Caenorhabditis elegans: one gene and its partners. The protein of the gene in region 3 interacts with the protein of the main gene of each other region in a pairwise test. Each region holds a gene or a part of one and is shown on either strand. Other genes may lie near its edges.

The links.
Region 1: the proteins of qdpr-1 (region 3) and pdhb-1 interact in a two-hybrid assay, tested with the Caenorhabditis elegans proteins (one large-scale study listed by BioGRID).
Region 2: the proteins of qdpr-1 (region 3) and wago-4 interact in a two-hybrid assay, tested with the Caenorhabditis elegans proteins (one large-scale study listed by BioGRID).

What each region holds. Positions count from the first base shown.
Region 1 is NC_003282.8:3,397,778-3,404,749, forward strand, and holds pdhb-1 (Pyruvate dehydrogenase E1 component subunit beta, mitochondrial), read left to right. Parts: upstream 1-1,894; 5' UTR 1,895-1,910; coding exon 1,911-1,980; intron 1,981-2,110; coding exon 2,111-2,296; intron 2,297-2,831; coding exon 2,832-2,962; intron 2,963-3,652; coding exon 3,653-3,830; intron 3,831-4,471; coding exon 4,472-4,853; intron 4,854-5,796; coding exon 5,797-5,908; 3' UTR 5,909-6,126; downstream 6,127-6,972. Other genes in the region: dyf-3 (Clusterin-associated protein 1 homolog), read right to left, coding at 406-606, 663-921, 1,013-1,124, 1,325-1,346. UniProt on the Caenorhabditis elegans protein: The pyruvate dehydrogenase complex catalyzes the overall conversion of pyruvate to acetyl-CoA and CO(2).
Region 2 is NC_003280.10:12,917,599-12,924,223, forward strand, and holds wago-4 (Argonaute protein wago-4), read left to right. Parts: upstream 1-1,952; 5' UTR 1,953-1,978; coding exon 1,979-2,134; intron 2,135-2,186; coding exon 2,187-2,377; intron 2,378-2,422; coding exon 2,423-2,591; intron 2,592-2,635; coding exon 2,636-3,041; intron 3,042-3,087; coding exon 3,088-3,814; intron 3,815-3,859; coding exon 3,860-4,035; intron 4,036-4,081; coding exon 4,082-4,250; intron 4,251-4,299; coding exon 4,300-4,474; intron 4,475-4,517; coding exon 4,518-4,763; intron 4,764-4,803; coding exon 4,804-5,168; intron 5,169-5,216; coding exon 5,217-5,334; 3' UTR 5,335-5,779; downstream 5,780-6,625. Other genes in the region: F58G1.2 (C2H2-type domain-containing protein), read right to left, coding at 1-223, 811-1,179, 1,346-1,382. UniProt on the Caenorhabditis elegans protein: Argonaute protein which is involved in the endogenous small interfering RNA (endo-siRNA) pathway and is required for RNA-mediated gene silencing (RNAi) in the germline.
Region 3 is NC_003281.10:13,391,954-13,395,597, reverse strand, and holds qdpr-1 (Dihydropteridine reductase), read right to left. Parts: upstream 1,689-3,644; 5' UTR 1,680-1,688; coding exon 1,596-1,679; intron 1,538-1,595; coding exon 1,434-1,537; intron 1,377-1,433; coding exon 1,253-1,376; intron 1,201-1,252; coding exon 932-1,200; intron 878-931; coding exon 748-877; 3' UTR 619-747; downstream 1-618. Other genes in the region: dnj-17 (DnaJ homolog subfamily C member 21), read left to right, coding at 2,263-2,574, 2,619-2,912, 2,967-3,097, 3,145-3,315.

The DNA.
Region 1 (6,972 bases), on a different chromosome or scaffold from region 3:
CTAATTGTAAGTGACTCAGACCCTCCGGGCTTTAAGAACAATCACGTGGGTTCGAGTGGAGTGGGTGTTGCTTCAAGCCAGTTAGGCTAATTCAGTCTATTCCTTCAGCTCCAAGATCCTCAGCGGACTCCTCGAGGCTAGGGGTCTCTGAGCTTCTGGAGAAGATGCACAGGCCCGGTCTAGTGGCTTGAAGCCCTGCATATACCACTAGAGTTCAGGTAATGAAGCTTCAAAGTCTGAATCAAAGTTCAAGTCACTCTTTGACCAAGCCCACGCCATTAGAAGAAGTCCAAGCTTTTTACTGTCCGCTTCACAATCAGGATCGAGCCAGGCCAATCTCTCAAACTCTAAGACGCCAGAGCTCAAACCTACGCCACCAGGAGCTCCGTGACCCGTCAAGCTTACCGATAGCTGCTCAGTCTCCTGAGCGATGTTCTGCACTGTTGCCTGCAGCACCTTCTCGGCCTCAGCAAGTGGTACCGCCCGTGACGCGGCTCTCTCGTGTTGCTGAGATATGAACTCCTGCCGGGACAGCAGCTCACTGAGCAGGGCACCTGTTTCCGGGAGTTGTGATGATAGCTGACGAGTGATTCGGACCTCCTGCATCTGAACTTTCGACAGTTTTTTCAGGCTTTTTCAGGCTGGTGGCCTGTGAGACCCACCTTCGACGAGAGCTTATTCTTGACTTGGGTCCATTTTGGCGAGTTATCAGTGTTCGGGTCCTCTGCCTTGGCCTGGTAGAGGATCTTCATGGCCGGTAGGAGTTCCTGCACCGCATGACCATCAGCCTGGTACAACTTTTTTGGATTCATCTTGATTCTCGAATTTTGGAGCATCAGGAGTACCGCGTTCTTGATGAAAGCGACCCGATCAGCTTCTGTTTGGACTTCGTGTGCGTCAAGGTTGGATTCGGGCTCAAATCTGGAATTTTTGGGCTTAGAGTAGGCTTGGAAGTTAGTGGCCAAAGTTTCTATATTTTTCGGCCAACGATTTTTTTCACTGGGAAACTAACTTTTTCACGATCCATTCCAGCAATTCAGCCACCAGCTGAAAATTTGGGGTCCGGAAATTCTCAATTGACATCAAGCGAGGGTATCGGAGGCTTCGCGTCATCTCACACAGGTCTGAAGTTGGCGAAATTTGGGACTAGAATCCGAACTCGGCCATGATTTTGTAAAATTCAATTTTAAGTGTATTTTGGGTCTTTTTTTTGCGTTTTATGGTTTAGAAACATTTCTCACCTAGATTTTAATGCAACACTTATTTTTTCCATATGAAAATCTCAAAGTTCAAATTTAAAATTAAAAAAGCCTTAAAAACTTACTTCTCAGCTCACGATACGACATTTTTCGTGCAGAATTCAATTGAAACTTCTCTTCTCAACAATTGCCTGCCTATTCCCCCATTCAATATTTCCTCCGTTCCCATAGAAACTCCCTGCAAACACCCCAAAGACTACGGTCGACGAGCTTCTGCAGCTCAACCGGCGTTTTGTACGCAAACACCGCGACGCCATATTGCACACATTTTTCGAGAGGAGCGCCGCGCGCATTTTCTCCGAGTTTTGTTTGCTTTTTTGCGCATCTTTCATTGATTTTTTATTAAAATCGGGGGAAATATGGTTTAAATTATCGATTTCCGCCTGTTTTAGTGGTGAAAATGTGAAAAATCGTAGTGAAAAACCCTAGAAACCAGTAAAATTCTATTTGGAAGGGTTTTGGTCTAAATTTTGAGTTTTTAGCATTAAAACAATATGCTCAGCAGAAAAACTAATGAAAATGTGAGAATTTTGAATCAAAATACCTAAATTTTTTAAAAAATCCTAGTTTTTCTCTATTTTTCTCAAAATTTCCGGCAAAAGCCTCAAAATTTCAATTAATTTCCGGTTTTTCAGGTAATCCCCGGTCGAAATGGCTCTGAGAAAGTGTGGAAACCTGTTCGTGGCTCGTCTCGCTGGCACCTCGACCAGAGCGGCTTCCAGTGAGTAGAAATTGCAAAAAATGAATGGAAAAAAAACGAAAAAATCGCTGATTACCGGCTAAAAATGAAGAATTGAACGGAAAAAACGAATTTTAACCTAAAAAAGCATAAAAATCGCCAATTTTTTCAGCAATGACCGTCCGTGACGCCCTAAATCAGGCTATGGACGAGGAAATCAAACGTGACGACCGAGTTTTCCTGATGGGAGAAGAAGTTGCTCAGTACGACGGAGCTTACAAGATTTCCAAGGGATTGTGGAAGAAGCACGGTGATAAGCGAGTCGTCGACACTCCAATTACTGAAATGGGATTCGCTGGTACGGGAAATCACGCTGGAAATCGAGAAAAATCGAGAAATGTTGACTCGGAACGTCAAAATCACTAATAAATCCCCAAAAACAGCACCATTTTTTCGAAAAGAAAGTGTCCAAATTTACTTTAATTTTGGATCTTTTCTCTCAAAAGTTCAGTTTTTACACTAAAAATTGGATTTTTCGAACAAATTTCGGAAATTTTCCTAAAAACAATTAATTTTCGGCATTTTTTATTGAAAATTTCAATATTCACTGCAAAAAGCTCGGAAATTACGGAGTTTTGATATTTTTCGCAGAAAATTCCGGTTTTATCAAAATTTTGTCGAAAATTAAGCTGAAAAATCACATTTTTTATATAAAAATCAGATTTTTCCCAATGTTATTTGCAGAAAAGCTCTAAGACCGCGCAAATTCAATTTTTCAGCAAAAATTGTCTAAAAAGCTCGAATTTTCGCATTTTTCTCGATTTATTCAATTTTTAGCAAAATTTTTTCAGAAAAAACTGAAAATTCCTCCAAAAAAATCACATTTTTTTCAGGAATCGCCGTCGGTGCTGCCTTCGCCGGGCTCCGTCCAATTTGCGAGTTCATGACATTCAATTTTTCCATGCAAGCCATCGATCAGATTATTAATTCAGCCGCAAAAACATATTATATGTCCGCCGGAAGGGTACGGTCTTGGCAATGTGCCACGTTTTCTGGAAATTGCGATTTTCAGCGAAAAAATAGCCGAAAAATTGAAGATTTTCACCAAATTTTTGACTAATTCGTGAGAAATCACGCTTTCTGCTATTTTTAGAACGAAATTCCTCGGTTTACACTGATTTTTCAGGAAAAAGTCAATTTCTGATACAAAAAATGCGATTTTTCTAGATTTTTGACTGAAAATCAGGGTTTTTCTGAAATTTCTACACAAATTTTACCTCAACAGAGCTGATTTTAGCTTTAAAATCCGATTTTTCTCGACTTTTCACTGAAAATTTCATTTTTTCAGCCATTTTCGTTGAATTTATGCTGAAAAATCATGTTTTTCACATGGTCTCACGCCATTTTGATAAGAAAAAATTTGTAAAAATCATCAACTGATAAGAATTCTTATCACTGAACACTTTCTGATCAGTGAATTTTATCAGAAATTGGAAATTTTTTTTCGGAAAATCGGTCCAAAACTGAGAAAATATAGGGAATTTATAACTTTTAAAGTTTTTTTTTCTTGTTTTTTTTTCTGAAAACACCGCTTTTCCAAGAAAAATACCGGAGAAAATGATATTTATAAAATCATTGAAGAAACATTTGAAAACGAAAATTGTAGAGATTTTGTAATATCTGAAGAAAAAAATCGAGAAAATTTATTTTCCAGGTACCCGTCCCAATCGTATTCCGTGGACCAAATGGAGCCGCCGCCGGAGTTGCTGCTCAGCATTCTCAAGACTTTTCAGCTTGGTATGCTCATTGTCCAGGACTGAAGGTTGTCTGTCCGTACAGTGCTGAAGATGCGAAGGGACTCCTGAAAGCTGCGATTCGTGACGATAATCCGGGTACTTGTCGCGAAAATTGGAGATTTTCGATGCAAAATTCAGATTTTCCAGAAAATTTCAGTCAACAACCGTGACAACTGGAAAACTTCTGATATTTTCGAAATTTTAGGATCAAATTAAGCGGTTTCTTGAAATTTTCCGGGTTACTGTAGCTCCAAAAGTACGCAAACACCATATTTTACGAAATTGGGAGCTTTTTGGCTGAAAATTTCAGTTTAGACTGATTAAAAGGTGGCAAATTTGAATTTTTAATTCATTTTTTGAGTTTTTAACGATTTTCTTGTGAAAAATGGTTTTCCGAACACCAATGTTTGCGTGCTTTTGACGCTACAGTAACCCCGAATCAAAAAATCGGCGCTATTTTCATCAAAAATTTGAGAAAAGTCGGTTTTTGTTTAGTTTTTTCATTCAAAAATGTTTTTTTTTTACTTTTTTTCCGGAGATTTACATTGTAAAATCTAAATTTCGAAAAATATTGTGCAAATTTAGCAGTTTTTCAGGAAAAAATCCAAAAAAAATTAAAAATTCTATAGGAAAATATCTGAAAACCAGTTTTTTTTCAGTTTTGGCCGAAAATTCTGCGAAAATTTATAATATTCTCCTAAATTCAATTTTTCGGGAAAAATTCGAATTTTTTGCAGTTGTCTTCCTGGAAAACGAGATTCTCTATGGACAATCGTTCCCAGTCGGCGACGAGGTTCTTTCCGATGATTTCGTGGTTCCAATTGGCAAGGCAAAGATCGAAAGAGCTGGTGATCACGTAACAATTGTCTCGTATTCACGTGGAGTTGAATTTTCACTGGAAGCTGCAAAACAGCTTGAAGCTATCGGAGTTTCAGCAGAAGTTATTAATCTTCGCTCACTTCGTCCATTTGATTTCGAATCGATTCGTCAATCAGTTCATAAGACTCATCATTTGGTGTCTGTTGAGACTGGATGGCCATTTGCTGGAATTGGCTCAGAAATTGCTGCTCAAGTTATGGAGAGCGATGTTTTCGATCAACTTGACGCGCCACTTTTGAGGTCCGTAAGAGAAAATTTGCGAAAAATGGCTTAAAATGCTAAAAATTTGATGAATAACTGCTAAGAATGGCACAAAACTTGAAATTTTATCTTTAAAATGTTCCAAATTTGACATTTTCTGAAAAGTTGAAGGAAATACTCGAAATTATCTGAAAATTTTATAATTTCATTACAAAAACAAAAAGGACCCTAAAATATGAGGAAAACAGCTGAAAATTTGTGATTCTTTCGAATTTTTCTTGTTCTTTTTTAAAGAAAAAGCGAAAAATTCGAAAATAGCTCGAAAATCTTCGAAACATGCGAAAAATCGCATAAAATCCTTTAAAATTTTCCAAAACTCCCGAAAAACACTTCAAATTTTTGTAAAAATGATCCAAACCCGAATAAAAACCTCTAAAATGCGAGAAAATGCTCCAAAATCTCAGGAAAAAACCCCCATAGAGCTCATAAATTTCTCAAAATTGCTCCAAAGTTTTAGCAAATTTTCAAAAATCCTTTAAATTCCCCTAAAAAGCTCCAAAATTGCTGAATAATTCCTCGAAAATCTCTGAAAATTTCACAAAAAAGCTCTCAAATTTTAGAAAGTCTTCACAAATTTCCAAAACCTCTGAAAATTGCTTATAAATTTCTCAAAAATGCTCCAAGGTGCTCCAAACAGCCTAAACATCCCGAAAATGCTCCAAATCTGCTCAAAAGTTGCTCCAAAATCTCTGAAAAATTCTATAAAATCTTCAAAAGCCCTCCGCAATCTCACAATACATTGCTCCAAAATTCGCTTTATAAACTCTATACTTTCTCAAACAAGCTCAAAAAATGTTAGAAATTGCTCTAAATTCTCTGAAAAAGCTCCGAATTCGTTAGAAATTTCTACAAAATTCCCTAATAAGCTCCAAAATCCCCCGAAATGCTCTAAATTTCCTAAAAATCTTAAAAAATTTTCCAGAGTCACCGGAGTCGATGTTCCAATGCCATACACTCAAACTTTGGAGGCTGCCGCCCTTCCAACCGCCGAACACGTCGTGAAAGCTGTCAAAAAGAGCCTGAATATCGCATAATTTTCTGTTTTTTTTCGTTAAAAAATCGATTTTTCTCTAATTCTCATGACCCCCGATGCCTTTTTTCCCCTAATTTTTTTTTCAAAATTTTTGGAATTTTTAAAAATTTTTAGAGCTTTTTTTTTCGAGATTTTCCCCATTTTTAGGTACTTTTCCTGTTTTTATGTTCCCCGTTTAATAGTGATTTTAGTGAGTAAAACGAGTAATAAAAGTCCCCTCAATTTCATGTTTTATGGCTCCGCGATTTCCCCGGAGCAGCAAGGTGCTCCTTCTCCGAAATTCGGGAAAAATGCGCATTTTTCCTTTCCACATTTGTCATGCAAATTCGTCGTGTTTTTTGGGAATTTTTTTGGCGCGCGCGCCTTTTTTAGTTTTATATTTGTTTGTTTTTTAGTTTTTTTCTGGAAAAGTTTTTTTTGAAAACACTAATTTTTCAAAGGATTTTCCAAAAATTTTAATTTTTCTCTATTTTTCGCAAAATTCGAGTTTACCTCACCGAGAGCTTTCAAATGAGTATAATCATGACCTGTTTTGCCTGAAATTGAGTTGGGTCTCACCACGAAAATCCCAGGGTTACTGTATTTTTCGTGGCGAGACCCAACGTTTTTTTTCAAGTTCGAGCAATGTATGCCGTGATTATACTTGTTCGAAAGCTCTCAGTGAGCTGAATTCGAAAACACAAAATTTTTTTGAGAAAGTTTAAATTCACTGGGTCTCCCCACGAAAATCTCAGGATTACTATAAATTTCGTGGCGAGACCCACATTTTTTCAACTCCAAGAAAAGTAGGTCATGATTATACTTAAATCAAAGCTCTCGGCGAGCTTTATTTGAAAATACAGGAACTTTTTTATAAAATTGGAATTTGTTGGGTCCCGCCACGAAAACTTATAATTTTTTTTGGAAATATTTCTAAATAGTTTAATTTTTGGGTATTTTACGTCTAAAATTAGCACATTTTTGTAGTTTCAGCTAAAAATAATTTCCGTAACTAGTTTTTCAAAAAAAAATTTTAGGGAAAAAATCGAAAAAAAATAAAGTGTAACAATTTTTTTTGGGAAATTT
Region 2 (6,625 bases), on a different chromosome or scaffold from region 3:
TCACCCATATAATCAGCCATTTCACGTTGATTTTCCAAAAATGCAATGTAGGCTTTCGGGTGGGAATCTCTGAGATGTCGCTCGAGAAGGCTCATCTCACCGAAACGATTTTTGCAGACTTTGCATCGGAACATGCTTTTACGGACGGCATTTCGAATTTCATCGATGCTCAGTGAGGACGCAGGAACCATGTTGAGATCCGGAGCACAAAAGTCTTGCTGCTCTGAAAATTATAAATTTTCTTTTTTTCCAAATATTGGTTCAAAATTGGACTCAAAATTGCCTAAAAATACCGAATTTCATGATGAAACTTCTTGAAAACTTCTCAAAAAAAAGTTATGACGGCTCAAAAACTGGCCTAAAATTAGTTAAAATTTGAAATTTGACTTGTCAGCGCTGCCAGCTGGAAACTAATATTTTTGAAATCACCGTCAAATTTTGAGTATTTTATGTAATTATCTTTCGTTTTTAACTCTGATTTAGGTATTTTAAAGTCGATGAACGGCGAGATTTTTAAATTTTTTTAAACCAAATCTCGCGGTCCATCGACTTTAAAATACCGAAATCGTGTTGAAAACGCAAGATAATTACATTTTATACCCAAAATTTGACGGTGATTTCAAAAACAAAAATTGTTTCCAGCTGACAGCGCTGACAAGTAAAATTTTAAGTTTTAACTACTTTTAGGCCATTTTTTGAGCCGTCATAACTTGTTTTTGGGAAGTTTTCAAGTTTCATTATATAAATCGGTGTTTTCAGACAATTTCGAGTCTACTCCACCTTTAAATGACAAATTTCTGAAATCCTTACTTTGTCGAACTATACACTTGTCAAGTTCGGCAGATGGATCGATGAAATTCAGTGCAGCTCGGTTTTCGCGAAGCTTTTTGATTGGTCTTCCATCCCCGCCGAGAATGATTCGTTCTTTATGAATTTTCGGCGGATTTCTGAGGCTCGCAAGAAGCTCGCCGACTCCGGTGAGCTTTTTTCGTGGGCAACACACGTCATTTCTTCCAGAATCGTTGGCTTCAGCTACTGTTTCCTTTTTCATGCATTCTTGAAGGAAGTGCTCTTGAATACGACGAATCTGTTGAGCATCCTGAGCGTTGAATGATGCAATAATCTGCTGTTCCTTTTCGTCTTGGCAATCCCTATGTTCCGCATGATCATCTTCCGAGACTGCATCTATCAAGAAATCATTAGAAGAGAATAATACAAGAGAAATAAATATCAAATAGTGATAATAACTAGGTTTCTTGGAACCAAATATAGAAATCAAGTTAACAAAATTTCGTTATTTTTGTTTTTTTATTAGGTTAACAATAGAAAAAAATATAATGATTACGTGAATCTTCACGATCGACAATCTCCGGCGCCTTCATTGTTTCTCGTTGCTTGTCCTGATTGTTCCTGTAATTAATTGCATTATTGAAGGAAATTTTAAGATTTCAAATAACGAAATTGAACACGGGTCTGGAAAAATAGAGGCGAAACGAAGAAATATGAACATTTCGAAATAATGCAACAATCTCATGTGACTCCTGATGAAGAGGGTATTTGAAGTGCAAAATAGAGCGCAAGTGCACTTTTTTAATTTTTCTCTTAAAAATAGCTATTTTTGTTTAATTCTAGAGTTTTAATTATAAAAAGAAAAGCAAAATTCAATAAAGGTTCTCTTCGAAAAAATAAATTGTTCGGGTGGATTTACGGTAAACAAGGCGCATTGCGTTAAGGCGGAGTGTCGTTGTGCTCGGGTCTCGCAGCGAAAGTCACCTACAGTAACCCAGAATTTTAGGATGACCGCGATTTTCAATTTCGTTTTTTCTTTTCGCGTTTTTTCGCGGAAATGTTTGTTTTTGATGCTCGTTTTGTGTTTTTGTGTTGTATTTTTGTTGCTTTTTTCGCATTTTTCTATACGTTAAGTCTTATTTCGTCTTGAATTTTAAATTTACAGGTAATAGTTACAAAATCGAGAAGGATGCCAGCTCTTCCTCCAGTCTACACGCCTTCTGGAGCTCCATCGAGCGTCCACGCACCACCTGCCGTTCCACCAGTTCCAGTTCCGACTCAACCGTTAAGATCGGAGTATCAAACGTCTAACGACGCTTGCATCAAGAGACTGGAAGAGCTTAATGTACGTTTAGTTTAATTGATTTTTTTTTCAAACCTAATTTGTTAAATTTCAGATTGCTCCTGCTGCAAAGCTCTATCCAACACCTACTGAACCAGGAAAGTGTGGCGTCGAGGCCGAAATACAGACCAACGTATTCGGAATCGAGATGCACCAGGATTCGTTGTTCTATCAGTACAGCGTGAACATCACGACGGAGCTGAAAAACGGGAAAGAAGTTACCTTCACTAAGAAGGGGAAGGATGAGTGAGTTTACCACATGATTTATATTTTTCTCATAATATGTTCCAGCTTCGTCGTTACTGAGAGACACGACAAGTGCTGTGCGATTCTGTTCCGCGCGCTGGGTGACTATGAGGAGTTCTTCAAAACGTCTGATAGCTGCCTCATCTACGATGGTCAAAGCATTCTGTTCTCAAACGTGGATCTTTTCCAAGGGTTCAGAGAAGGCGCAGTAAAGGTAAATAAATTAAATCTCGGCCAATGTTATTCCGAATATTTCAGACCAAGTACATGCAGCTTGATGGCGGAGAAATGGATCATAAGGATCTCAAATCGTTGCCGTGTATTAAGCTGGAGGTGTTCCCGACTAAAAACCCAGCGGTCAAGTTCACACGAGAAGCCGTAGCAAGACGAGCAACGGACTCAAACCTCGATTCTGTCAGCTTGGCTTACCAACAGATCCTGGAACTCGCTCTCACTCAACCATGTCTTCGCAACACTGCGAGATACGTTGTTTTCGATCATGGAAAAATGTTTTTCATTGATCCACTCGGTGAAGGATTCGAGAAATGCGACGTTGTGGACGTTGGGGATGGGAAGCAAGTTGTACCAGGACTCAAGAAGACGATCAACTTCATCGAAGGACCCTACGGCAGAGGACGGAGTAATCCATCAGTTGTCATTGACGGTTGGTATTCAAAATAGTAATATCATAGTTATTTCTTGTTTTTCAGGGATGAAGGTCGCTTTCCATAAGAATCAGCCAATTCTCGACAAACTGAAGGAGATAACTACGCAGCCTGTGGAACACGGCCTGAAGGGACTCGAAAAGGACCGCTGCGCAGCCGTCATCAAAGGGCTCGACTGCTATTCTACATATGGCGGTCGTGAACGTCATCACAAGATCGAGGGAATCCATCACGAAGGGGCTCGAAATGCTCGTTTCGAGCTCAACGACGGTGGAAGCTGCACTGTAGCTCAATATTTCGAAGACGTATACAACATCACTCTTCGCTATCCAGACACAAATCTCATCGTTTCCAAGGAGAGAGGAAATATAAACTTCTACCCGATGGAATTGTTGAAGATCAGCTCTCATCAACGCGTTCAGATCCCGCAGCTAACCAGTGCCCAGAGTCAGAAGACAACGAAGGAAAGTGCTGTTTTACCTGACGTTCGCCAGCGTCTGATCTTGACGGGAAAAAATGCGGCGCAAATCTCATCGGACAACGAGGTTCTCGGTAAAATGGGCGTCTCGGTGTGCGAAGATCCGCTCATGGTCAAAGGACGCTCAATTCCTGCGGTGAAGTTGGCAAACGCTGAAATTGGAGCCAATCCAATCAATGTCAAGGACAACAAGTGGCGTGCCAACCGCTTCACTCGACCAGCCACGGCGCCGAATGTGTGGGCGATGTATGTTGTCGGTACCGCATCAACTCGCATAACTTTGGATACTCTGAAGTAAGACTGGCAATATAGTTTCATATCTCATTTTTTTCGTTTCAGGAAATTCGCAGATGAGTTCGCGGCTATGTGCAAGTCAAAAGGTGTCAACATGCCTGCTCCTGCTGACATTTCGCTCATCCATATGGATGCCATCGAGAGTCGTCTGTACGACGCAACGAAAGCCAATTGCACATTCGTTTTCATCATAACGGATGATTCAATCACTACACTCCATCGTATGTTACATTGTTTATTATATTTGTCCATATTTCCGTCTTTCAGAGCGTTACAAAATGATTGAGAAGGATACGAAGATGATCGTTCAAGACATGAAGCTATCCAAGGCGTTGAGTGTTATCAATGCAGGAAAGAGGCTAACTCTCGAGAACGTGATCAACAAGACCAATGTGAAGTTGGGAGGTTCCAACTATGTTTTCGTGGACGCCAAGAAGTACCAGATTTTTTTTTGCGAAATTTATATTCATTTATTATTCCTTCAGGCAGCTCGACTCTCATCTGATCATCGGAGTTGGGATTTCCGCCCCACCTGCTGGAACCAAGTATGCCATGGAGAACAAAGGAGTTCTAAACCCCAATGTCATCGGCTATGCGTACAATGCACAGCACAATCAGGAGTTCAGTGGAGACTTCGTGTTAAACTCTGCCAGCCAAGATGTGAGTTTCCATTTAAGAATATTCTCATCCGATTTGATTTCAGACTCTTGCGCCGATTGAGGATATTGTGATGCACTCGCTCAACGAATACCAGAAGTTTCATGATGGCGGTCTTCCGAGACGCGTCATTGTCTACCGAACAGGAACAAGCGAGGGAAATCATGGATCAATCATGGCCTACGAGATTCCTCTTGCTCGTGCTGCTATGAGAGATTTCTCACCTGATATTCAACTTGTATACATTGTGGTGTCAAAGGATCACAGCTTCAGATTCTTCAAGCCCGATTTGGTTAGTAGTTTTGCATCAAAATAACTTTGTATATTTTCAGGCAAGTCTAGCTTCCCGTCCACAAGCGACTTCCAGCACCGCAAGCAGGCATTCTGCAATGCCAGCCGCCCCAAAAGCATGGGATCTGAATATTGCACCCGGTATTTTGGTCGATTCCATCGTGACAAATCCGGCTTGCAAGCAGTTTTTCCTGAATTCCCACATCACTCTGCAAGGAACTGCGAAGACTCCATTGTACACAGTTCTCGCCGATGACGCCAAAGTCAGCATGACAGCTTTGGAGGATATCACGTACAAGCTGTGCCATCTTCACCAGATCGTTGGACTTCCGACGTCGCTTCCAACTCCATTGTACGTCGCCAACGAGTACGCCAAGAGAGGACGCAATCTGTGGAACGAGGCAGTGTAAGTTTTGCATTAGCGGATTCTTTGGAAAAATGTTTTTGTTTTCAGGGCCTTGAACAACGTTCCAACTGTTTCTGGCCCGGAAGCAGATCGTCTCAAGGAGTTGACCAAGAGCATCTGCTACAAAGCGTCCGGAGATCTCACGGGTCGTCGTGTCAACGCATGATCACTTTCAACAAGGCAAACTTTGTTTCTTTAACCACCTCAACCCTTCCCTGCTGTTCCATTATTTCCTTGTCCCTATTGCAATTGTTTTTGAACAACTAATAACCCTTTCCCACCTGTACCATTTCACATTGTTACTCTTACACCACGTTTATAACCGCATAGTTTTCCCAATGTATTAATATTGCCCATTCTTGTTATATCATACTTATATTGTCCCCTGTTATTCACTTCCCTTGTCAAATATTTCCTTTTTTCAGCAACTTGTCATCGCAATTTCTTTTCTCGTTGAAATTACGCTGACAAGTGTGCTCTGTGGCCTTTTTCTTTTTTTTTTTCATTTGTTTTCTTGTACTAACTTCTCGAAACATCAGAAGATGTTTCGAGAATTTAGTTTTGAATACTAATATAGGCACTGAAAACTTAATAAAAGTTGATAGCCGTCGAAATTGGTTTTTGTTCTATTTTTGAATTTTCCGGGTCGGCTTGGCATCAGGGATGTTCAAGAAATTTTTTTTTGCAAGAAACAAGAAATTTGCATAAAACATTGCAAGAAAAAGCGCAAAAAATGAAAGAAATTTCAAGACATGGAAAACAGTTAAACTTTTTTCAAATGTTAAGATATAGGTTAAAGTAGTCGATTATAAATACGATTTAACCTAATAGGCGACTCCTGGAAGTAAGTTTCAGCCGAAAACTATGAAATTATTGCAATTTCCAAATTTCTACGATTTGTCAAATTTCCATGTCCAATTTTTAACGATTTGAAACATTTTTCCAGCTTTCTAAACGTTTTTTATCCAAAATCCTATATAAAATTTTTATATTTCCATAGAACTTCCTCCATCTTGTACTGATTTTTCTCGAAATAAACCTGAAAATCAAAAAAAAATTTCTTGCACTTTTCTTGCAAAAAAATATTGCAAGAAATGGAAGCAAGAAATGCAAGAAATCAAGAAACAAGAAATTTGCATCCCTGCTTGGCATGCAATTATAATAGTGATACTTAGCTCTAATGATAAGAAGAGGGAGGGATTGTCACGTAAACCCCGTTCTAGGGCAGTGTGGAAAATATAAAAAGTTTATTTCGGAAATTAAATTTTCTACAAACATGTGATTGTGTTTTGAAAAAAAAGAAGTGAGTTTCGCGGCGTTGTAAATACAAGTACAAAATTGAGTGAATATTATATTTTCAGAAAGAAGGGTGGGGTACTGTTGAGAAGCGAGACTCACACAACTACGGAAAAGATCATCAATACAAGGGACACAATAACGGAGCCTATTTCGAGTAC
Region 3 (3,644 bases):
AAAAAAGTGTGAAGATTTATTCTCTGCAAACAGATAGAGGAGAATTGGAAGAGAGAAAATGATATGGGAGTGACTAATAAACTGCGGGTTTCTCTGTTTTCTTGTCATATCAATATGGTGAGAATTGACGAATTAAACTAAAGATTTGGGACAAGAATTATGTAATAATACGCTGAAAAAGAAAACGAAAAAAAAAAACAATTTTTCGGTAATTTAAAGGAGCATGAACAATATGTTGTAGATTTTTAATTAAAATCGTTTCAGGACCCATCGCAAAAGTGGTGTGCCCCTTCCAAGGTATATTTTCCATTCTCTGAATTCATAATATTTTGGTAAAGTTATTTTCAACGTAATTTGTATAAAATCTTTTGCGAGTTTCTAGCAAATTTTTACTTTTGCCCCGAAAATACGGTACTCGGTCTCAACACGACAAACTTTGATTAACTTCGAAAAGGGATGCGCCTTTAGGGAGTACTGTAATTTTGTAACATTTTGTTGCCGTAGAATTTTCTATAAATTTAAAGAAAATAGGGAACTAAAAAAAAACCATAAGAAATTGTCGCGTCGAGACCGGTACCGTATTTTCAGCAGAAAAATTGCAATATTTCGCATCTAGATAATAAAACATTTTTACTTAAAAACATCACAAGCTTTATGGACAAATGATTTAGAAATTGATAGCATACTACATGGAAAAATAACAGATAATAAGCGGAATGTAAAAAAGGCTGAAAAATGTCGGTAAAATTATTGTGGAGTGATAGTCGATGTTCCATTTTCAGTGGTTATTTTGAGGAGAGCCCCGGAAGATGGACGGCTCGATGTTTCTGTGGTCCATTTGAGAAGATGTTCAGAGATGAATGAGAGTGGAGTCCAGCTGAAAAAAAAACATAGAAAACTATGCAAAAGAAAAAGAGTAATTTAATTTTACCTTGAATGATCAGCATTTGGCATCCATTTTCTGTTCATTGGGGTGTCCAAAGTGACTGGCATAATTGTCAAAACGGCCGAATTGTCAGGCAATCCCGAATCTTTGGCAGCCAATGAAGATGTCAGATGATGAACTGCAGCTTTTGCCATACCATATCCAATCATTGATGGAGTTGGTCCCATAGCAGCAGCAGCTCCTGTAAGCTGAAGAAGACCTCCCGGCTTGAGGTGAGTGGTGGCCAATTTGGCTGCAATTGCTGAACTCCAGACCTGAAAATTCACGGTAGAATAATACCAGATGTTTAGGATTAATATATGTTACCGATTGTTTGATCATTAAATCAGCATTTTTCACAAAATCTTTTGAAGAAGCGGAGCCTCCAGCCCATCCACCGGCAACACAGAAAACTCCATCAACCTGACTTCCCTGGAGAGATGAAGCAGTTCTGCAAATATTTTATGAGGTTACGGTAGCTTTTTTTTAAATTAAAAATACAACTTACTGCTCGAGAATGGATTGTTCTTGTTCTGTCCAATTTTTATTTCCGTCCACCAAAATATTACTGTCAGCTTGGTCATTGGCACTCAAGTCGATGTTTAGAACAGTCTGAAAATTAATGAAAATTAATTTACAACATCCTAATTCAATTTCTTTTAAAACTTACATAACCATTTTTCTTGAAGAATTCAAGAATAGCAGATCCAAGTGCGCCTTTGCCTCCGTATACGATAACTTTTCCACTGGACATTGTTCGAAACTGCAAGGAAAAAGTAAAGAATGACAATATGGAGGTTGAAGGACAAATTGGCCGCGTGGACGACGTCAAGGACGATTTTAATGTGATACTGGTATCAACGAGTGATCAGAGACACAGATTTTTAATGTTAAATGAGGGAAAACTTGATGGAATTCAGGAAAATAAAGATGAAACAACATTTTGGAAATCGGTTTCCGAGCTTGAACTCGAAACGAACTTTTGTTATCGAGAGTTTTATCAGTTATATTTTTGCAAGAAATTTGGCAGACATATCAATCGATAGCTCTTATTTAGCTCAACAACATTTAATATGAATCACAACAGGAAAATGTGAATTAGCTTCTCAGAATTCGTCAAAACATCGTGGGAAAAAATATAGGAAATTATTTTTTTACAATTGCGCTCTAATGTAGATGGCGAGACATCGTGTGGAAAGGAGAGACGATAGATAACTTTTTCTTTTCATTTAATTCTTTTTCTTGTTTCTATTATTATTTAAATGGTTTCGCATGAACTATTCATTTCAATTTATAAAATAAAATCATATTTAGAGTAAATTTTAAATATTTCAGCTATGAAATGCCATTACGAAGTGCTCGAAGTTGAACGCGACGCTGATGACGATAAAATCAAAAAGAACTACAGAAAACTAGCGCTCAAATGGCATCCCGACAAAAATCCGGATCGCATCGAAGAGTGTACTCAGCAATTTAGGCTTCTTCAAGCTGCGTACGACGTTTTGAGTGATCCACGAGAACGCGAATTTTACGATAGACATAGAGAAAGTATTCTGAAGGGAAAAAATACGGATTTCGAGGAACAATCCACGGATTTGTTCCCCTATTTCACCGCTTCTTGCTATCAAGGATATGAAAACGATAAAAATGTGAGAATGAAATCTAAAAAGTAAATCAAAATTATAAATTACAGGGCTTCTTCACTGTCTACCGGAAAGTCTTCAATATCCTAGTTTCTGAGGAATATGATGCGTACAACGATTCAACAATAGTCTATCCAGAGTTTGGCGACAAGGATACCGATTTGGAGCAAACTGTGAATGGTTTCTACGGTTTTTGGAGCTCTTTTTCGACAACTCGCTCTTTTGCCTGGCTGGATCATTATGATATCACACAGGCTTCAAATCGATTCGAATCACGGCAAATCGATCAGGAAAATAAGAAGTTTAGGGATGTCGGAAAGCAGGAAAGGAACGAGCAAATTAGGGTATGATTGTCCGGAATATTTAATTTTAAATTTAAATTTAACAAAATTTTTCAGAATCTGGTCGCTTTTGTTCGAAAACGTGATCCACGTGTCAAAGCATATAGGGAAATTTTGGAGCAAAAAAAATTGGAAGCACATAAGAAACAAGCTGATAATCGAAAAAAGCAGATCGCCAAAAATCAAGAGTAAGTTCCGAAATTGTGAAAAATAAGGAAAAAATTGAATTTTTCAGGCTAGCCAACTCATATCTGAACGACAAAGAAGCCGAGGCAGCCCGTCTTGCTCATTTGATTGAAGTTAGTCTACAAATGGCCGAGGATTACGATACTTGTAGTGATGAATGTGATGAAGAAGGAGAAGAACTTCCATATTGTGTTGTTTGTAGCAAATCGTTCAAAACTGTGTAAGCAGAATATTATAAAGACGCAGAAAAATGCCATTTTTGAAATGGAGATGCAAGTACGCTTCACGGAAAAATTAAATCGCTCCGCCTCCAAAGTTGGGTCTTGTTAGGCATTGGCTGCAAAACCTTAATTTCAAACGATTTTTGTTTAAAAAAAAGCTTAAAAAATGCACAATAATCGAAACATTGAGAATTGAAAAACGAAAATTATAGATTTATCGGAACTCCTTTAAAAAATTTTTTTTTGATCTTTTAAAATCGAAAAATCTAAATAAAACGTTTAAAAAATGAAAAAAAAGAAGAAAAATTGAAAAATTTGAGGTCATTTT